Linked DNA regions of Pelodiscus sinensis. The protein of the gene in region 3 interacts with the protein of the main gene of each other region in a pairwise test. Links are inferred from orthologs where the notes say so. Each region holds a gene or a part of one and is shown on either strand. Other genes may lie near its edges.

Evidence for each region.
Region 1: the proteins of XIAP (region 3) and CASP10 interact in binary tests that used the Homo sapiens proteins (3 or more experiments, as listed by UniProt). The two-hybrid records come from large-scale screens. The link is inferred for Pelodiscus sinensis from reciprocal best matches to the Homo sapiens genes XIAP and CASP10.
Region 2: the proteins of XIAP (region 3) and NEK6 interact in binary tests that used the Homo sapiens proteins (3 or more experiments, as listed by UniProt). The two-hybrid records come from large-scale screens. The link is inferred for Pelodiscus sinensis from reciprocal best matches to the Homo sapiens genes XIAP and NEK6.

What each region holds. Positions count from the first base shown.
Region 1 is NC_134717.1:56,863,162-56,870,618, forward strand, and holds the start of CASP10 (caspase-10), read left to right. Parts: upstream 1-4,407; 5' UTR 4,408-4,819; intron 4,820-7,457. UniProt on the Homo sapiens protein: Involved in the activation cascade of caspases responsible for apoptosis execution. Recruited to both Fas- and TNFR-1 receptors in a FADD dependent manner. May participate in the granzyme B apoptotic pathways.
Region 2 is NC_134732.1:24,211,818-24,218,958, forward strand, and holds the start of NEK6 (serine/threonine-protein kinase Nek6), read left to right. Parts: upstream 1-4,091; 5' UTR 4,092-4,250; intron 4,251-7,141. UniProt on the Homo sapiens protein: Protein kinase which plays an important role in mitotic cell cycle progression. Required for chromosome segregation at metaphase-anaphase transition, robust mitotic spindle formation and cytokinesis.
Region 3 is NC_134723.1:32,365,783-32,372,940, reverse strand, and holds the start of XIAP (E3 ubiquitin-protein ligase XIAP), read left to right. Parts: upstream 1-4,045; 5' UTR 4,046-4,166; intron 4,167-5,066; exon of another isoform or gene 5,067-5,166; intron 5,167-7,158.

The DNA of each region.
Region 1 (7,457 bases), on a different chromosome or scaffold from region 3:
TTCCGAAATTGCTATTTCAAAATAGCTCCTCCCCAGGGCCATTCAGAGTAATTACTCTCTAGTGGTTCATGGGGCTCTAAATAGAGATAGTACATCAACATGAGGGGAGCCTGCCTTGGACTAATTTCAAGGCTTCCCTATAGTATAGATGCACTGTTTTGAAATAAACTATTTTGGAATGTTTCTTCCAGAATAGCTTATCTTGAAATAAGCATGCAGTGTAGACTAGGGACGTAATAAGTAGTCGATTAACCAAAAAGCAAAAGCTTATAGGTTAATGCTATAGACTACACACATTTCTCCACCCCCGACCTTGCCAGTAAATTTTTTAGCTCTGCATTTAAAGTGTATTAGAAGCTGGGTGGGAAGGCAGCCTGGCTTAGTCCTGTTTCACACTGGGTCTGGGACCTACCCCCACTGTGTTTCTGCATTTGAAGTGTCTTAGGAGCCAGGAAGGCAGGAAACTCAGCCCAGTTCCAGATTGCACCAGGTACAGGAGCTCAGACACACACACCCCAGATGGGGTGCTGCCACCCCACTAAGCTGCCTCTGATAAAGAGGCAGCAGGAGAGGGAGACAGGCAGCTGGTCCACAAGGGGAGCTGATTTTTAAACTAGCTCCCATCATGGAGCAGCCCCCACCTGGCACCCCGCACTGCGGCCTCTGATACAGAGGCAGCAGCACAGAGTGGCAGGGGTTTCTCAGGAGTGAAGCCAGAGCACACTGGCTGCTGGCCCCACCCCTTCGGGACTATAGACTAGTTGACTAACCTATAAGAATTCATGAAGTTACTCGACTATCCAGGTAACTAATACTTAAGGGTATGTCTACACTACCCTCCTAATTCGAACTAGCGGGGTAATGTAGGCATACCGCACTTGCAAATGAAGCCCGGGATTTGAATTTCCCAGGCTTCATTTGCATAAGCCGGGCGCCGCCATTTTTAAATCCTGGCTGGTTGGAACCCCGTGCCGCGCAGCTACACACGGCACGAACTAGGTAGTTCGGACTAGGCTTCCTAGTTCGAACTACCGTTACTCCTCGTGGAGTACCAAATATTTAAGTCTTTAAAGTTCTTTAAAATGAAAACAAAACAGCCTGAATTAAAAAAAATAAAATGTTGAAAAGAACAAGCAATAGAGATAAAAAGAGAATGCAGGAAGAAGACCATCACCAAGAATGGAGGCTATCCTATTCATTGCACCCAATATAGCATGTATGGTTATCTTCCCTATATGCAAAAGCGACAAGGAGTCCTGTGGCACCTTATAGACTAACAGATGTATTGGAGCATAAGCTTTCGTGGGCAAAGACCCACTTCATCAGATGCAGGCCCGAATAAGACTAGAGATAACGAGGTAAATTCAGTCAGGGAGGGTAAGGCCCACTTCTAGCAGTTGATGTGGAGGTGTGAACACCAAGAGAGGAGAAACTGCTTTTGTACTTTCAAAGCCATCGTTTAATCCTAAACTGATGGTGTCAAATTTGCAGATGAATTGTAGCTCAGCAGTTTCTCTTTGAAGTCTGGTCTTGAAGTTTTTTTGCTGCAGGATGGCTACCTTTAAATCTGCTACTGTGTGTCCAGGGAGATTGAAGTGTTCTCCTACAGGTTTTTGTATATTGCCATTCCTAATACCTGATTTGTGTCCATTTATTCTTTTACGTAGGGACTGTCCAGTTTGGCCGATGTATATAGCAGAGGGGCATTGCTGGCATACAATGGCGTATATTATATTGGTAGATGTGCAGGTGAATGAACCAGTGATGGCGTGGTTAGATCCTGTGATGGTGGTGTTGGTGTAGATAGGTGGGAAGAGTTGGCACCAAGATTTGTTGCATGGATTTGTTCCTGAGTTAGAGTTACTGTGGTGCAGTGTATAGTTGCTGGTGAGAATTTGCTTTAGGTTGGTGGGTTGTCTGTGGGCAAGGACTGGCCTGCCTCCCAAGGCCTGTGAAAGTGAGGGATCATTGTCCAGGATGGGTTGGAGAGGTTTTAGCTGAAGACTGTAGGTGATGGCCAGTGGTGTTCTGTTGGTTTCTTTCTTGGGCTTGTCTTGTAGTAGGAGGCTTCTGGGTACATGTCTGGTTCTGTTAATCTGTTTCTTCCCTTCCTCGTGCAGGTATTGTAGTTTCAAGAATGCTTGGTGAAGATCTTGTAGGTGTTGGTCTCTGTCTGAGGGGTTGGAGAAGATGCGGTTGTACCTTAGTGCTTGGCTGTAGACAATGGATTGTGTGGTGAGCCAGGATGGAAGCTGGAGGCATGAAGGTAGGCACAGCCAGGTCGGTAGGTTTCCGGTATAGAGTGGTGTTTATGTGACCATCACTTATTTGCACCGTGGTGTCCAGGAAGTGGATCGCTTGTGTAAATTAATGGAGATTGCCTATCTTCTAGAACTGGAAGGTATCTTGAAAGGCCATTGAGGCCAGTCCCCTGCCTTCACAGCAGGACCAAGTACCATCCCTGACAAATTTTTGCCCCAAATGGCCTCATAGAGCTGGAAGAGACCTCAGAATGTCATCAAATCCAGCCTCCTGCTCTAGGCAGGACCAATCCCTTGAACCTCCTGAAGGATTGAGCTCACAACCCTGGGTTTAACAGGCCAATACTCAAACCACTCAGCTATCCCTCCCACCAGTGTAGACTGGTCCAGGCTAAGGTTGATGGTGAGGTGGAAGCTGTTGATGGTGATGTGGAATTCTTCGAGCCTCCTTCCCATGGGTCCAGATGATGAAGATGTCATCAATGTAGTGTAGGTAGAGAAGGAGTGTTAGTGGATGAGAGCTAAGGAAGTGTTGTTCCAGGTCAGCCATAAAAATGTTGGCATATTGTGGGGCCATACGGGTGCCCATAGCAGTGCCACTGGTACGGAGGTATATAATGTCACTGAATCTGAAATAGTTGTGTGTGAGGATAAAGTCACAGAGCTCAGCCACCAGTTGTGCTGTGGCATCATCAGGGATACTGTTCCTGACAGCTTGTATTCCATCTATGTGTGGGATATTTGTGTAGAGAGAGCCTCTACATCCATGGTGGCTAGGATGGTGTTTTCTGAAAGATCACCAATGCATTGTAGTTTTCTCAGGAAATCAGTGATAGCTGGGAGTACTGGTGGTATAGGATCTGAGTAGAGAGTCCACATATCCAGACAGTCCTTCAGTGAGAGTGCCAATGCCCGAGATGATGGGGCATCCAGGATTTCCAGGTTTGTGGATCTTTGGTAGTAGATAGAACAACCCTGGTCTGGGTTCTAAGAGTGTGTTGATTTGTTCCTGTGCTTGTGTAGGGAGTGTCCTGAGCAGATGGTATAGTTTCTTAGTGCATTCCTTAGTAGGCTTTGAGGAAAGTGGCCTATAGAATTTGGTATTGGAGAGTTGTCTGGCAGCCTCTTTTTGGAAGTCAGACCTGTTCATGATGACAACAGCACTCTTTGATTATAATGTCAGAGTTGTTTCTGAGGCTGTGGATGGCATTGCGTTCTTCACGCAGGGCTGGACAGAGGCATGGGCAAGCCAGGCAGCTGCCCAGGGCGCCAACCCACGGGGGGGTGCCTGATGGCAGCTGTAAGGGGTGCGTGGCTTCTCTTACAGCTGCCATCAGGAGCTGCGCACCTGGCTCCCACGGTGCCAGCCCCACAGCATCGGACAACAGCACCCTTGCCCCTATGGCTGCGGGGCCATACATGGCCCAGCGTGTGCGCTAGCAGCGCTGGCCGGGCTGGGCTGGGCAGCGCATGCGCCATGCGCCCCATGGGTGAGCCCCGGGCTGTGCGCCAGGGGCCATGGCTGGTGCACGCATGCGCCATGTGCCCCAAGGGCAGGTTCCGGACTGTGCGCCAGCGGCTGTGGCCGGCGCCCCAGGGGCAGCGCCACACACCTGGGCCCAGGGTGCCAAAGGGGCTCGGGCCGGCCGTGTCTGCACAACTGAGATTATGAGGCAAGCGATGCTGTTTTTCCACAATTTCTGCCTGTGCACGTCAGCAGAAGTGCAAGTGCAGGTGCAAGAAGCTCCTGGCCCTCAGGGACCTTCTATGGGCTTTGAAGACCATGGTGGCTGAATTGGAGGAGCTAATGAAGGCAGAGAGGTACATTGATGAGACTTTCCAGGACACACTAGAAGAGTCCCATCCCTGGTCACACAGCCTTTGTGCTCTTGAGGACGTTTCAGAGGAGAAATGTTAACACTCAAGAAAGAGCTCTTGGAGTATTGGGGATAGCTCTTCGAAAACACCCACTCCATAGGTGCTGCTAAGGAAACTCTCAGACAATCTGTGCACTTTCGGTGCGCACCTAAGTGGAAGGGATGTGAGCAAGCACTGGAAGAAGAACTGGTGTAACTCCGCCCTGTAGGATTGTGCTACTGCTGGCAGCAATATCTTACAGGAGCCCTCCCTGCTAGCCTACCAATCGGAAAGCGCTCCGGGAAGCCAGTTCCTAGAAGGGAGCAGCCTTCTCCAGGCCAGAGCCGGGACAGTCACCGTGACGAGGCATTTCACGGCCGCGGTGCCTGCAGGCGGGACCCTGGTCTGAGAGTCGGGGGCTTGGGAACGCGGCCGGTGTAAAGTCAAAAAGTGAGCGAGTCCCCAGGGGAGAGCGCGGGGCCATCCCGGGGGCTGGACCTGCCCCGGCGCCGCCCCCCGCAGACCCCAGGCAGACCCCCACCCTGCTGCGGGAGGAGACGCGCCCCGTGCGGCTGCGATCACCAGCCCCGCCCGCGGCCCGGTGCGCCCTTCAGACGCGGGGCGGCGCTGCGAGAGGCCGGCAGCGGAACCGGAGTGAGACCCCCGCGCCTGCCGCACAGCGCGCCGCGGCCTGCTGCCGGGTGAGGCGCTTCCCGTCCAGCCCCCCCCAGCACCCCGCCCCCACTGCCGGCAGCCCCCCCCCGGTATTAGCCCCTCCGCCCCCACTGCCGGCAGCCCCCCCCCCGCATTAGCCCCCCCTCCGCCCCCACTGCCGGCAGCCCCCCCCCCCCCGGTATTAGCCCCTCCGCCCCCACTGCCGGCAGCCCCCCCCCGGTATTAGCCCCCCCACCACCTCCACTGCCGGCAGCCCCCCCCCGGTATTAGCCCCCCCTCCACCCTCACTGCCGGCAGCCCCCCCCTCGGTATTAGCCCCTCCACCCTCACTGCCGGCAGCCCCCCCCCCGGTATTAGCCCCTCCGTCCCCACTACCGGCAGCCCCCCCCCGGTATTAGCCCCTCCGTCCCCACTGCCGGCAGCCCCCCCCGATATTAGCCCCCCCACCCCCACTGCCGGCAGCCCTCCCCCCGGTATTAGGCCCCCACCCCCACTACTGGCAGCCCCCCCGGTATTAGTTCCCTCGTCTCCACTGCCAGTCCTCCCCCCCCCGTATTAGCCCCTCCCACTGCTGGCAGCCCCCCCCCCCGGGTATTAGGCCCCGCCCCCTCTACCGGCAGCCCCCCTGGTATTAGTTCCCTCGCCTCCACTGCCAGCCCCCCCCCGTATTAGCTGCCCCCCGGTATTAGCCCCTCCGCACCCACTGCCGGCAGCCCCCCCTCGGTATTAGCCTCCCCCCGGCCCCTACTGCCGGCAGCCGCTCCCCCTGGTATTAGCCCCCTCGCGCCCACTGCCGGCAGCTTTCCCCCTCCGGTATCAGCTCCCCCCCCCTCCCGCCCCCAGTCCCTACTCCTGACAGTACCGCCCACCCGGCACCCGGCGCCCTCCGGCAGCCCCCCCCCTCCCAACCCGCCCTTCCGGCAGTCCCCTCCTCAGCCCCCACTCCTTGCAGACCTTCTCTGGCACCTGCCACCCAGACCCCCCCATTCCCTGCAGCCCCCCTCCCTCGGCACCCAGCCCTCCTCCCAGTGCACTGTCCCCAGCCCCCACTCTCTGCAGCCTGCCTCCCCCTGGCACCTAGCACCCACTCCATGCAGCTCCCCCACTTCTAGCACCCAGCCCCCCCAGTTTACTGCCACTCACGGCACCCAGCCCCCACTCCCTGCAGCCCCCTTCCACCCGCAGCCCCACTTCTGCACAACTTCTCACATCTTACACCCAGCCCTCCACACTCAGAGCTTGCACAAACACCCTTTCTCCCACTGCACCCAGCACCCACTGTCTATACAATCCGCTGGCATCGGAACAGGCACCCTGCCCTTAACATTCCCATGAGCACCCTTTCCTGGCTCCTTGGGATGTTATCTGACTGAAATATGAGTTCTCTGATTAAAATGTGGCACTTGGCCAGGAAGGGTGAACCAGCTCCTAACCGGAGACCCAGCATCCAACTTTAAAATCACGTATGGAGATGTTAGATACTAAGCAGGGTAAAAAAAACAACAAATGGTCTGGTAGCACTTTATAGACTAACAAAACAAAGTGCTACCAGACCATTTGTTGTTTTTTTTCGTGTAACAGACTAACTTGGCTACCCCCTGAAGCTACGTGGATTGTTAGACTAGAACTTGGAAATGCCAACTAGCATTTTGAGATCGGTGGAGTGGTAGGTGTGCTTAGGTCTGATGATGGGAACAAACAGCCCTTCTCTGCTACTTTGACTCAAGATCAGAAGGGAATATTAACATTTTTGATGAAACTTAATTGAAATAGTATTATTGGTTACATGTCTCTTTGAAGGTTGTGGGACACTGAATGTGAACAGATTAAATGGAAAAATTGCCTTGTTCTAGTGGCACAAGGACAGAAGATGCATCTGATGAAGTGGGTCTTTGCCCACGAAAGCTTATGCTCCAATAAATCTGTTAGTCTGTAAGGTGCCACAGGACTCCTTGTTGCTTATGAAATAAAAGTTTACCAACCTGAAGATCCTGCATGTTCAGACATTTTCCTTTCATCATCTTCAACACAGCTTCCTCCTGACAAGGAACTTCTCATGATGATGTTTTATTTGGGCCCCCAGGCTTTTCATTTCTTTGTTGCACTGTTTGCATTTAGCATGAACACCTACCTTCATTGAACTTTTTAAAATTTTCCACTTTTTGAGAGGGAGGTAAGGGACTGATTCTGTGTACTCATATTTGCAAAAGGACAATAGGATTCAGGTCTGTTGTTTCTCATCTCTATATATTACTCATTTTAAAACATTTTTGCTGTTAACAACCATGTTATCTCTGGAAGCACAAATCCACAGTGTAAGAACTAGGGATGTTAAAGATTAGTCGATGATCTGATAAGCAAATGCTTATCGGATAGTCTTTTGACTAAATTACTAGTTGATTTCCTCCTCCCCTCCCTCCTCTGCCTCTGAGATAGAGGCAGCAAAGGGAGGGGGAAGGGGTACTTCAAAGTACCCTAAGGTGGCGTTTCAAAGGAGCAGCCGCTGCACTGCTGATCCGCGCATCAGCTGTGCAGTGGCTGCCCCTTTAAAATGCCATCTCCGCACATTTCAAAGGGGCAGCAGTGGATCCTGGTGTCAGCTGGGGACTCCCCAGTTGATTCCGGGCTCTGCATGGCATTTCCCCAGAACCCGGGGTCAGCTGG
Region 2 (7,141 bases), on a different chromosome or scaffold from region 3:
GGCCAGAGGCCATGAGGCTCCATGCACTGCTCTGCCCCTGAGCACCGGCTCCATACTCCCACTGGCCAGGAACCAGCCACTGGGAGCTGGGGAGGACAGTGCCTATGAGTGAGAGCGGCACGCTGAGCCACTTGCGCACCTCAGCTTAGGACTCAGATCTGCTAGTGGCTGCTACCGGGGCACAGGATGGTCTAAGGCACCAGGGAAGGCGGGAAGCCTGGCTTAGACTCCCCGCTGCTCTGCTGACTGACAGTTGCTGGGGGTGAGTCCATGCCCAACCTGGCACCCCAATCCCTTGCCCCAGCCCTAACCCCCCCCCCCCACACACACACTCCAGAGCCCACACACTAGTCAAAAGATAGAATTATGTCAGGCCATGCAAATCCACATGCAGGGTACCACCACCTTAGGATGAGAAATCCCTCTTTTAGGAGCCATTAGGGAGTGGAAGTCAAAGATGAGAACTCAAGAACTTTAAAACTACCCCTTAGAGCTGGATAGTTACAGCCAAGCCTCAAACAATGCTCTTCAGAATCAAAGGATTGCTTCAAAGTTACCCCGAGCCTGAATTTCACCATTAGAGATACACTGGAGGAAGATGTGTTGAAATCAAACAGGTGTGGGTATTGTGGGGAAGCTGAAAAATCCTAGCTGAGAGAGACACGTATAGAAAGCATAATGCCATCTGTGACGTCTCTTGGCGTAACCTGTTCAGTAAGTCATTCTCTTATGCCCTGCCTCAGGTGTGAGTGTCTTGCTTTGTTGCAACTTGGTGTTAGCTCCCTGACACTGCCAACTTGTTTGTCACGTAAGCATTTGCCTGTGGGCTACACCAGTCTTGTCTTTGAACTGGTGAACCTCAGTTTCTGTCTCTTTCAATCATTCCTCTGTGATATCCAGCCCCTGCCACTGGTTACTCACAGAAATACCCAAACTTTTGCCCCCTCCTCCAAGAAACAGTGTGACCCAGTTTAGTAGTTTTGTGTTAAATCACTGCTCGTGTTAACTGTGAGTGCTTATACATCAACTTACCTTTTTTTAGTGAAAAAAAATGGAGAATTAACTAGAAGCGGGGAGAGGGGTGTAGAAAAGCATTTATAGCACGGATCATAAAACACAAACCTGGGTCTATCCTTATGAAGTTACCTTCTTACCTCATGAAGTAGGCTTCCCCCAAAGTTCAGCCTGTTGCAGACCTGGCTGGCTGGAAGCAGGATCCAATTTTTCAGGAGAACCAGGATGCATCCTCAGTGAAAGGTTGCATATGTTCCCCCCCTCCTCTGTTATAAGGAAAGTCTTTTATCTTTATTTATAGACAGGACAAACTGGTCTGCTGTAATGTTCCTTTTTTACCTCCAAGTGGTTTGGATTGTTTGCAGTCACTGATGATATTCCATTGATAGTCTTGGGAAGAAATAAGGCCAGACAACTGAGCCTTGCATTACCTCACTGGCTAAACGTGGCAGGATGATAGCTTCCCTCCTTGTGGAATCAGCCAGCACCAAGACTTATCTTCTGGTCACAGACTTCTACTCCAAGTCCATAAAGCATACTTCCCATCTAGTTACACTGTTTCTAGGCATTATTCCTGGTACATACATCTCACGATGATTGTATCTTGATAGTCATACGCTTTATGCAGATGCCTTACACATATTACTTTTTATGGATAGATATACTGCAAGACATGTTTGGAGTAACAAATCTATTAGGTCTGAGATTTATTTGCAAAGAATAATGGACCATCTAACATCTCAGGCCAAGTTTACAACTAGAAACTTTTGGTGGTATTGCAATTTGGTTTAGGGGTAGGATTGCACTGCATCATTTCTACACCTGCAAAAGCCCTAGCATAGATGTAGCTTTACTGGACTAAAAGTGCTTTTGCTAGTATAGCTTACTTTGCATATCAAACTTGCATAATCTATACTAACAAAAGGACTTTGTTTTGCCTGCGTAAGCTGAATGCGTGTAACCTAGGAAGGTTCTCATATGAATATACAGGTCGGACCTCCCTTGTCCAGCACCCTCTGGACCTGAGGGGTCCTGAACAATGGAGTTTGCCGGACAATGGGAGGTCAAGGCTCTGTTCCCAGTTGGGGCTGCGCTCCCTGTCACTGCCTCCAGCTCCACTCTGTGCCAGTCCTGCCCGAGGCTGCGTCCCCAGGACAGGGGCTAGCCCCATTACCCCCAACCCCAGCAAGTGCTGTTCACCCTGTTCTCCCAGTGCCAGCCTGGGCTGCACTCCTAGTGGACTCCAGCCCCGGCCGGGACTGTGATCCTGCATTGGACCAGTCCTGGCAAAGGCTGTGGTCCTGACCCCCGGCCCTACTACCTCCAGTCCTGACTGGGGCTGCAGTCCTTGCTGCCAGCCCTGGCCAGGGTTGTGCTCTTCACCGCGCTGTACCCGCTGGGGCTGAGCTCCCCATCGCCAGCCCTGCCCTGGCTGTGCTTTAACCTGGACAGCTAGGGCTCTCTGGTCCAACAACATTCGTCGTCCTGCTGGACCAGAGAGTCCCGGATTTTAGAGGTCCAGACTGTACCCGTGTAGCTACCTGCAAACCTTTTTGAGTGTAGACTACACTTTAAATTACAAGAACGTAATTTTATAAACAAAATGTATTTTTCACCATATAAACTGTTTGTTCATGCTTCTCACCCAGCTTTGATAGAGAAATCAAAGTAGTTAATTTCCCTTCTATTTATAAGTTAATTTCACCTTTGGATTCTCTTTCACTAATAAAAAGAACCCTCTATCATATTTAGTTGTAAAATACAGCAGAGAAATATTTAAATCTACCCTTTACCACAAAATAGCATTTTATTTTAAAATTGAAAATTTTATGGAAATATTTCTATTCCTTTTGTGTTTTGAAAAGTCCTATTGAATTCTAGCAAAGCCTAAATTTTAGTCTTGCACTAAGAACCCAATCCTACTTATTCACTGGCTATCTACTCAGAGGGTAGCCCTGCTTATATGTAGCTTTAAAAGCAATGAGTAGTCTTGTGGTACCTTAGAATATGTGTATACTGCAGGGTTTTTCTGGGATATCAGAGGTATCCCGGAAAAACTCTGCTGTATCCAGGGAACATGTTTGCTCTCCCACTTTTTTTTCCGGAAGTGCAAATGCGCTCTTTTAGAAGCCCTGTCTTCATTTCATGAGGAAGAAAGGATCTTCTGAAAGAGGGGGATTTTCTGAAATTTGGCCCAGTGTAGATGAGCCAAATTTCAGAAAAGCCTCTTCCAAAAGAGCTTTTTTTTTTTTTTCTGAAAAAAAAGCTGTAGTGCAGAGCTAGCCTTACAGACTAACAAATATATATATATTGCACCATGAGCTTTTGTGGGCAAAACCCACTTCATCGGATGAGCTGGAGGAGGGAGAACAGAAACCCAGAATTTACGACAGAAAAACTAGGGTTGTAAAAGTAATTCAACTGATTTCAGTGGGCTTAGTTACCTTTTCCATACTATTCAGTGCAGGTGTGTGGAAGGAGCGGGCAGCTCATGTTCTCTTCTGTGAGCATGCTGTGCATGCACCACACCCCCCAACACTGCACGGGGCGAGGAAAGCAATTCTAAATATAGCCCTTTGCCCCGGTGACAACTCATCTCCGCCCGCTCGCTTCCTGCCCCCCACGCAGGTTGAGGGGGAGGGTAGCAAGGGGGGGGGCAGCCACGTGTGAGTGAACCCAGGGCGAGGGGCCCGCGTGCACCAGTGACTCCGGGGGAGGGGGGGGCATTGCCCCCCAGCCCGGGCCGGTGAGTTTCGGGGGCGAACCCCACGAGCTGCACCCCCCAGCCGGGGCCGGGCGGGTAAATGCCCCTCCCTGGGGCAGACCAGGGACCCGCTCGCGCCCACGGGGGGGGGCTCCACTGCCCCGGGGGTGCCCGGCGCTGCACAAACAGAGCAGCCCGGAGCTGCCCCCCCCATTGCACCCCCGCGCTCGGGCCCCGCCCCCCGCAAGCGCCCCTCCCGGAGCGCGCGGGCTGGGGGGTGGGGGGGGGAGCAGCGCGCGCGCCCCTCGGCCCCGCCCCGCCCCCTCGCCTGCGGGGCCCCGGCGGCGGCGCGCGCGCTCCCGGGCGGCAGGGCCTGCGTGGCAGCTGGGGCGGCGCGCGCCCGCGCGGCGGGGGAGCCGAGCAACAGGCGCGGGCCCGGGCGGGGGCGTCGGGAGCGCGCGGCGAAGTTGTGGCTGGGACTCGCCGCGGCGGAGCGTGGAGCGGGGGCCCCGGGACTCGCGCCCGGCGGCAGGTAAGAGCCCCCCCTCCCCCCGCGAGCAGCGCGGGAACGGGCCGGGCTACGGACACCGGGGGGGGCACGGACCTGCGGGGGCTGGGCAAGGCCTGTGGGACGGGGGGGCACAGGGGCTGGCTGGGGGGGCACAGGGGCAGGGCAAGGCCTGTGGTACGGGGGGGCACAGGAGCTGGCGGGGGGGGGCTGTGGGGCGGGGGGGCACAGGGGCTGGCGGGGGGGGCTGTGGGACGGGGGGGCACAGGAGCTGGCTGGGGGGGCACAGGGGCAGGGCAAGGCCTGTGGTATGGGGGGGCACGGGCTGGCGGGGGGGGGGGCTGTGGGACGGGGGGCACAGGGGCTGGCTGGGGGGGCACAGGGGCAGGGCAAGGCCTGTGGTATGGGGGGGCACGGGCTGGCGGGGGGGGGGGCTGTGGGACGGGGGGCACAGGGGCTGGCTGGGGGGGCACAGGGGCAGGGCAAGGCCTGTGGGACGGGGGGGCACAGGAGCTGGCTGGGGGGGCACAGGGGCTGGGCAAGGCCTGTGGTACGGGGGGGGGGTGGCCATTGACCTGCAGGGGCTGGGCAAGGCTTGTAGTGGGAGGGGGCCCGGGGTGGCCACTGATGTGCAGGGCTTTGAGGAAGATTCCTGTCTCAGTGGCTCTTGGGCTTGCTGCTGTTCAGCCGGGGCCAGGGGGAAGGTCCATCTCGCAGGCAGATGCGACTTGCTCTCTTCTCTTGGGACACCTGTCTTCGTTCTGTCACTTTTTGAATGTATGTAATGGCCAGGTTAGGGGCTGGCTCAGGAATGGTGTGCTGGAGCCTTTGCTGCTGCCTAAACTTGCTTGCCTAAGTTTCCTTTGGTGGCCACTTCGTGTGCTATCCGCACAGGGGTTTTGTGTGTCTTTAGGATAAAAGGACTTTCCATGTCACTTTTATACTCATAGAGTGAGACAGGGAAAAGTCCTATTAGGACATATTATTTCTTCCCACCCTCTCCAGAGCTAATGCAGGATTGTTTCCTAATGGACATTCTTGTCCTTTGTTCATTTTAAATGTTCCAGACAAATAGGGTGTCCATCACTTCCTCTGGGGGACTAGTCCAAACGGGTACGTCTACACTGCACGGCTATTTTGGGATACCAGAGGTATCCCGAAGTAGCAACCCCACATCAACACAAGCTGCCCATTATTTTGAAATATTTTTCAAAATAACAGGCATACTATTTTGTCATCCCGGTAAACCATGTTGCACAAGGGATAAGAGATGGCTTGAAATGGAATGTTATTTCGAAATTTGGTGCTGTGTAGACACACCAAATTTCAAAAGAAACTATTTCAAAAAAGATTTGAAATAAGATATGCAATTTGCGTGTCTTATTTTGAATTTAGGGTGCTGTGTAGACTAACCCTAACAGACTAGAACTCGCTGTCAGGAATAAGTGTCACAAAGTAATGTGCTAGTGCGGTGTTTCTCAATCAATGGCACGAGTACCCTTAGGGGTACTCAAGAGAAGTCGGGGAGGGGAGGAAGTACGTCAACACAACTGAAATTTGGAGAAAATGGAATTTTTGTTTTAAGTTTTACAGCGCTTTATTATTTTTATACTTTTTACACCCAAAAATTTAATTGCCCGCCCAGCTACTATTAAGATGTTTAAACGAATGTGTTGCAATGGTAGAAAATTTTTGTGTGTGTCTGAAAACTGTAGGTACTGGGGGTACTTATAATTTTTTTTAAAAGGGGGTACTTTTTTTGGAAAAGAGGTACTTCACAAAAAAAAAGTTGAAAAACGCTTTGCTAGTGTACTGGGATCACATGGACATCAGTCTTAATGGAGGGGAAAGAAACAATGTAAATAGGAAGGCAGACAGGAGGAGATAAGTAATTAAAGGAGTTGGAGAAGTGTTGAGTGGTAGTGCCATGGCTTCCTTTGGTAATGTGACTTCCCAAATGTATTGCAACTCTTGAGTTTTGAGACTAACACTTATCTGGATGAATTTGAGGATAGATTGAAATAACACTAAAATGCAGTATGTTCTTCTTTAATGGAGGTTTGTTGATATATAAGTGCTGTTATGAAGGGTGTTAGCAGGCAACATTGTTTCAGGAGGTAAGCAAAGTTAAAATTTCTCTAAAAATAGGGCTATTTGTGTGGTTTTATGTGGGTTGGTGTCAGGTTGCTTTTTTAAAAAAACATTAGAGATGGTGGTGCTGTCTGACACACATACTTTAGCCAGCGGTTTCCGTATATTTCTGTTCTGTTCTGGAAGAGCCAAATCACCTCATGGAATATGTTCTCAACCATCTTCTAAAACATTGATTTAAAGGGAGTACTCTGGGGTTTTCTGGGGGAACATCAACTCATCTAGATATTTGAATAGTTTAGTGGGCTACATAAAAAGCAGTAGTGAAGTCTGTACAAACTAAAATTTCATAGACAATGATTTGTTTATACTGCTCTGTATACTATACACTGAAATGTAAGTACAATATTTATATTTCAGTTGATTTATTTTATAACAGTATAGTGGTAATGAGAAAGTAAGCCATTTTTCAGTAATAGTGTTCTGTGTCACTTATCAGTTATATTTGATTTTGTAAGTTTTAAAGTAAGGTGCAATGGGATACACAAGACATATCAGACTTTAGAAAGAAGTACAGTAATCTGGAAATATTGAAAGCCACTGCTCTAAAATCTCTTACCTTCTCTACTTTATTCTCTTCTGTGGTTTCATGGGCCATGCACGGAGCTCTGCAATTACTAGTTAGTGTATGGACTCTACTCTGAGAACCTCTCTACCATCAGACATTTTCCATTTGGGGACTCTTCTGTTATTGGGTTTTAACATTCTGCTGAACATTTTAAGGGAGAGGTGCCTAGCTAGTCTTAGAGTGCTTTTTTTTCTGT
Region 3 (7,158 bases):
ATTTGGGGTACATCCTGCTACTCAGGATGTTGCTGCTATGTGCTTAGTTGACAGTTTTATGGCTGCATCTGTACTTTTTACTTTATCAGAAACAAGCAACAGTACAAGGCTGCTTGTCCTGTGTTCTTGACGTTGTCTTGCATACCATGCTTAATCTGCATTGTTATGCAAAACAATTCCTGACTCTCAGGCCCTGCCTGCGTGCTTTGGCGCACCAGAATGGAAACAGGCCAGAAATCCGCATTTTGGACAAAGTAGACATCACCATTTATTGCCAAGGCAGGGTAGTCCAGGCTCCCCTACAGTTTTCCATAGGCTCTTTCTCAGGAAAGTCCTAAATTGTTTTGGCTGAAACTTTCCAGAATAATACAGTTTGAGATACATACCTATCTTTAAAATGTTCAGCCCTAATAGTTAAAACTTGGCAGAGTTTTAAACAACTGAAAACAGGATAGGGGTTGGAATTAGGGGTGGTGCTGCACCCCTGGTTTGAAGCCATTTCCATCAGATTGGTTAAATGGTCTTCAGTATCCCACCTATATAAATTGTTCCAGCTCCATTGGAAAACAGGGTCTTATAACAGGAATTTTCAGGCAGCTTTAATAATACAGCAAACTTCTGATAATCCAGAACCTTTGGGACCGAGGTGGTGCCAGATTATCAGATATGCCAGACTATCAGGGGGTACTATAAGCTTGTTTTTTATATATATACAGGCAGTCCCCGGGTTACGTACAAGATAGGGACTGTAGGTTTCTTCTTAAGTTGAATCTGTATGTAAGTCGGAACTGGCGTCCAGATTCAGCCGCTGCTGAAACTGATCAGTTTCAACAGTGGCTGAATCTGGATGCCAGTTCTGACTTACATACAGATTCAATTTAAGAACCCCAGGCATCCCCAAGTCAGCTGCTGCTGAAACTGATCAGCGGCTGATTCCAGGAAGCCCGGGGCAGGGGCTTCCCGTAGTCAGCCGCTGGTCAGTTTCAGCAGCGGCTGACTTGGGGACGCCTGGGGCAGAGCAGCTGGGGAACTGCTGGGTTGGTCCAGTAGCACCGCCGTTCCTCGGCGCTACTGGACCAACCCAGCAGCACCCAAGCTGCTCTGCCCCAGGCGTCCTGATTCAGCCGCTGCTGAAACTGACCAGCAGTGGCTGAATCAGGACGCCTGGGGCAGAGCAGCTGGGGTGCTGCCGGGTTGGTCCAGTAGCGCCCAGAGCGGCGCTACGGGACCAACTGCCAGCGCCCCAGCTGCTGTACCACAGGCGTTCGGAGCAAAGCCATGGAGCACGGGGGCAGCGGGACAGCCCAGACGCGCCGTGGCTGTCCTGCTGCCCTCGGGCTCCTTGGCTTTGCTCTGCTTTGCTCCCCGTCTCCCTGGTCTGCAGACCAGGGGGATGGGGAGCAAAGCGGCGGAACACGCGGGCAGCAGACAGCCCAGATGCGTCTGGGCTGTCCGCTGCCCGTGTGCTCCGCGGCTTTGCTCTGCTTTGCTCCCCTTCTCCCTGGCCTGCAGTCTCGCTGCCTGGGCGGCTTTACTCCCGGGCAAATGAGCAAAGCCAGGCGGCGGCTTTGCTCGGGTGTCCCTGGTCTGCTGGGGGGGTCCAGCGGCTTTGCTGGACCCCCCCAGAAGACCACGGAGACCGGGAGAAGCCCCGTTCATAAGTGCGGGGCGAGAAAAGCCCTGTTCGTAAGTGCGGATCCGACATAAGTCGGATCCGCGTAAGTCGGAGACTGCCTGTGTGTGTGTGTGTGTGTGTGTGTGTGTATATATATATATATATATATATATACAGGGCTCGACAAATTATGGAAAACCCTACTCGCCAGACAAAAAAGGGACTCGCCACCCTCCCCCCCGCCCAAAAAAAAGTGTTTTTTTTATGGCATAAATTCCTAATAAGAATAAGAACAGTAATTACTAATACGTTCTTAATAAATATCACCCAAGTTATTAATAAATATCTTATAAACGTCTACCTTTTCCCTCTGCTGCCATGTCTCCTCCCCTTGCTCCATCAGCTCCCCTGATGCCTCCTGCCCCCCAACCCCTTACCCTCCTCTGCTGTCCTGACTCCTGTCCTTCTCACTGCCCTCAGCCCTCCTGAGACCTGCCCCCCTCCCCCAGCCCTTCTCTCCCCCCTGTGACCACTCCTCCAGTAGCCCCACTCATCAAGTGAGCTACCCCTCCTCATCCCCTCTCCTAACATGTGTCATATACTGTATATAAAGTGTTTTTAACTCTTTTTATTGTAGCACAAGCACTGTCCAGCGTCACACAATGCCAGTGGCAGACTGACTCAGTCGCATCCAGTTTCGCTCAGTTTAGCTGCTGCCGCTGCTGCCTTGTAACTCTGTTTTTGCTGAAGCTCACTCATTAGGCTCTTGCCATTTTGATGCCGGACTATCGGGAGTGCCGTACAATTGGATGCCGGACTATTGGAGTTTTACTGTATATGGTGTACCATCTCTGCCTACAGTAATCACAAGAATCTTGTATTAGAGATAGAGAAAATTGATGGTAATACAGTCAAAACTGCACTAAGAACCGCCTCCAATAGTCAACCTCATGTGTTCAGTGACCACCAAAGAGGTGTTTCCAGAATAATTTTATCTGACTTTGTATTAAAGACCATCTTCTACTAGCACACTGATTTTTGCAAAACCCTTGAGTCAGGTTAAGACAGGGTTAAGAATTTCATAATAAATACGTAACATAACTGTTTGTGCTACTATCACACCTTTTGTTAAAGGATCTCTAGATATTGGTCTATCAAAAGTGGAACTAAGGTCCCTATACCCTAATCATTACTCATACAGGAGTAATCATGGGGAGTGAAGATGACACATGGTAGTAATGGTTTGGGGGATCAGGCAGACCCTAATATTGTACCACACATCAACTTTATTAGGGAGAGCACTCTGCCTCTGTATTCTGTATCCCCAGATTCTTTAGATAATGAAATTAAGAGGATGCAATGCTATAATTTAAATAAGTGGAGGGAGAGAGAAAGTGAGGGCAGAGATGTTTTCAGATGAGATTGGAAGGCAGGAGCTGTGGTGAGAAACTGTTCTCAATGGCAGAGGCTGCAGAGAAGGTTCTTGTGCCAACAGTGGGGAAGATCTGTAAGGGAAAAGGTGCAAGATGAAGGCAGGGAATGGAAATTTGGGGCTGGAGCTTGAGTGCACTGTGACTGTGCTGTCCTGGAGCTGCGAGTACTGATTTGGGCCCATCAGGGCAGGGGCCCTCTCTCCCCATCCCCAGCTGTTTGGTGTTGCGAACAAGGGTGGAGAGGATGTGTGGAAGTGGTTTGGACTCTGGCTCTCTGGCTATGAGGGATGAAGGTCAGAATGGGAGAAGTGGGCCAACCATGCCCAGTACCAGAATCTTACCCATGCAGAGTAGCTGGCAACATCCAGAGCCCTATCCCCAGCTGGCCACTCTCTTATGTACTGGCTTACTTTCACCTCTGCATATACCTAAGATTGATAACCTTGCATGTCTCCTCACTCTTGCATGACTCAAACCCTCTCCCACATGGGCCTTACACTTGCAGTGTTGGTGGGCACACAGCTGCTGTATTACCAACAATTTTGATCTGTTGCCGCTTGTTAAATTGCAGAAGTGAGAACACAGTAGCATCTTTCGCTGGCCCCAGAAACTATTAATCTAAGAGATCCCATGTAGTGCAAAAAATGCGACTCTTTAGCCCCCATGTAAAAAACCCCAAACCCTGCCGCTTAAATTAGTGGGGGGGGGGGGAGGGTGTTTGTTTTTTGGCAACTGCCAAATGCAAATCCTTAAAACATTACCCCCAAAACAGCCAGTGGAGCCAGATACCTGCCAGGTGGTGGTAACCCTCCTCTTCTGTGGTCCCACTGCCCTGCGGAGGGACAGGGGCTTGGCCCGGGACAGGGCAGAGCAGAAGGAGCTGCCAGTTCCCCGAGAGCTGCGCACAGAGCCTCCAGCCTAGCGCGCGCCTGGGCCAGGCCCTCACCTGATCCCGCCCCCACCTCCAGGGACCTGCGCGGCCCTTCCCGCCGCTAGGTGTCGCCGCCGCCAACGGGACCCAGCGTCCGCCCTCGGCCGCCGGCGGACAGGAGGCTGCGAGCGCCATCTTCTCGCGGGCTTCCTCCGGCGCGCGGGGCCCACGGCGCGGAGCCAGGGCGGTGAGTGACAACGCGGGCGCGGGCCGCTGCCGCTCGCTCGCCCTGAGGGCAGGGGACGAGGCTGCCTGGCCGGCCGGCTGCAGCGGGGGGGGTCTCTGGGCTCCCCTCTCGGGCATTAGCAGGGGCGGGCGGGACCGTCCTTCTCCTGGGCGGCGGAGAGGCGGGGGCGTTACTCTCCCCCCCCCCCCATCGCCGAGCTCCCCAGCCCCTCCTCAGCAGCGCCCGCCCGGGGGAGGGACACGGACTCTGATCCCCTCCCCTCGGTCAGAGGGGCTCCCCCCTGCAGGCGGCAGCGATTCTCATTTCACCTGCTGCCAGCGCAGCTTTCATTGCTTAGATCCCCCTTTGGGGGGGTTACCTCCAAGATCCACCCGCATCCTGTAATGTGTCGTAATAAGGAAACACGCGTGTTCACTGAAAGGGCCCCCAGATCTCAGCGCTTGACCTGATTCATGGGCAGCCCCTCACACTCTGCGTGTGGCCCTCCGGGCGTCCTGTTACCTTGAGAAAGTGGACCCATCCTAGCTAAGGCTTAGTCGCTTTTACTTCCCCCATTTCCGACTGTGGCGTGTGTCTCACCTACGGCTTTGCTGCATTAACTGGTATATAATGTAATGAATGGCATTTGTCCACACGTATGGAGTACAACGGATATAGATCTTTGCAATTTGCAAAATGTGCCTCAAACTTTAATTCAAACAGTTCTTAAGTTCTTTGCATTTAAACCCACTTTATTCCACTAGAACCTGTCCCCGGGCCCTAGGTTCCTCACCCCTGCTTTAAGACAGTGTCTGAACGAACTCCTCTGCTGTGGTTGGCCAAGGTCCACCACTACATAAGCACAGAAGAAAAACAGTCCTATCCAGTATGTGTCTGTCTTCTGCCCATTTTACTTTTTAGTCTGCCAAGAAACAGAAATTGAAAGCCCACAACTTTCAAGAAGCCAGAATGAGTAGTTAAGCTGGACGGACTAGAGCCATTAATTCAATTTTCTGAGACTGTAAGTGCATGTTTAGCATGTTTTGTCATGAGATTTAATTGTAACTTGTTTTTAAAAGAGAGAGTCAGTATTTTATTGGTTTAAAAATAGAAGATGTGATTTAAATCAAATCCAGTTTAAATTTAAAACTTTTTTTTTATTTAATAAATTATTGATTTTTATCCACCCTGGGAATAACCTTTAAAACATTTTCAATATATTTGTTCCTCTCCATTCATCTAACAAACTTGTTGCACTATAGCATTTGAAGTACATATATCTTTATGCTGACTCCTTCAAGAAGCCATTTATAGAACCAAGTACAGTAAAATGTTTTAAGAAAGTTATTTTATATCTGGATTTGATTTTGTCAGTGAAGCTAATGTGGCCACTGAGGAGAGATTGAAATGCCACCTAGCTGATTAGCTGAATGCCCACAGCTAGGCTTTTTTTCCTGTTCATTTACTGGTGATGCATGTTCACATGTGCCTTGATGCAATTTTTTTTTTCTATACAGTATAAGGCTGGAAAAAATCCTCACATAGATGAAAAAGATGAGGGAACATTGGATGGGAGGCAAAAACATGGGGATGGAAAATATTACTCATTTTCAAAAGTGAAGGGAAATTCCAGGATCTGTTAGTGACCTTTCCTGTTGCATTCATCAACAAAATACATTTAGCCTAAGGGGTGATTTGTGGATAGAGTTTGTGACTTCTTGAAGGTTAACAGAACTGGGAATAGATTGTGTTGGCTGAGGTTACAGACTGTTATGGTGTCTATAAGACCAGAGTTTCTCAATATGTGGCTTGCAACTCAAAGGTATATCACCATCCAAGCAAGACCAGGGCTGGCTAGACGTGGCTTCCCGTTTCAGGCTTTGTAACCCGGCTCATAGGCTAGCAGTGTCACTGTGGTTTGGCTCAGTTACCCCTCTGTCATGTACTCTTCTCCCACAACTATGAGATTCTCCTACTGTCTTACCTCCTGTCATGGACCCCGACTCCTGAACTTCCCTCTTCACCCCACTTAGCCTCTGTGTGTAGAGGCTGTGTGGTTTTTTTGGGAGCTGTCAGCTTGCCGTCTCTCCCCTAAACTTCTATGTTCCATATCCTTCCCACTGAAACCTCAAACTCCTTTGCCCTTGGGATGTAAGTACCGATCAAAATAGTTAACCAGTTAAGCAATTAAAATTACATTCTTTAGCTGGTTAACCATTGTTGAGCGCAAAGCAACTATGGTGGGAGGGTCTTACCGGGCATAGTGGGGCCACATCCAGGGCTATGCAGAGAAGCTCCGGGCCATGGCTGCCATGGCATGGGTGCGTTCCTCCAGCGCTACTGTGACGTGGGCAAAGTTTCCTCCTGCCCCCACAAGGTGCGGATGGGGCGCTGCAGCGTAACCAGTGCTTGTGTCCCCTTAACTTGGCCTGTTCCAACGGCCAGCCAACAGGGCTGGTAGTCCAGTTAATCGGTACCCAGTATGCATTCCAGTAAGCCAACTGCTTACCGGGTGACCGGTTAACATTTTACATCACTACTTTGCCCCCAGTTCCTTCTCCAGCCACCTACAAATTCTCCCTATCCTTAGCCTCTCCATTGGTTGAGTTGGGGGCAGTGTTCTCTCTAAGCTGCGTTGCAGCACAGCTTCACATCCCCGCCCAGTCAGCTCTATGCAGGCAGCCCTGAGCCTCTGACTGGGTGGGGCTGATTAATCAACTGTGAAGCTGAGGGAACCAGAAGGAACACTAGTTAGGGGCTATGATTTTTTTGGGGAGGTTCAGCTCATCATCCATCCTCTCCTCTCCTCCCAGTTGCTGGTTTGGAGTTTCCCTAACCATTCGAATCTAACTGGAGCATCTGGAGCAAATTGGTCCTGAGCCCAGAAAGGTTGAGAACTATTGTACTAGATACCATGATGCTTATAAAAACCATAAGGCTTCTTCTGCTTAAACTGTACGGTTAGGATAATACTTATGCATCTTTTGTAAGGGATTTTAAGATCTATTAAAAA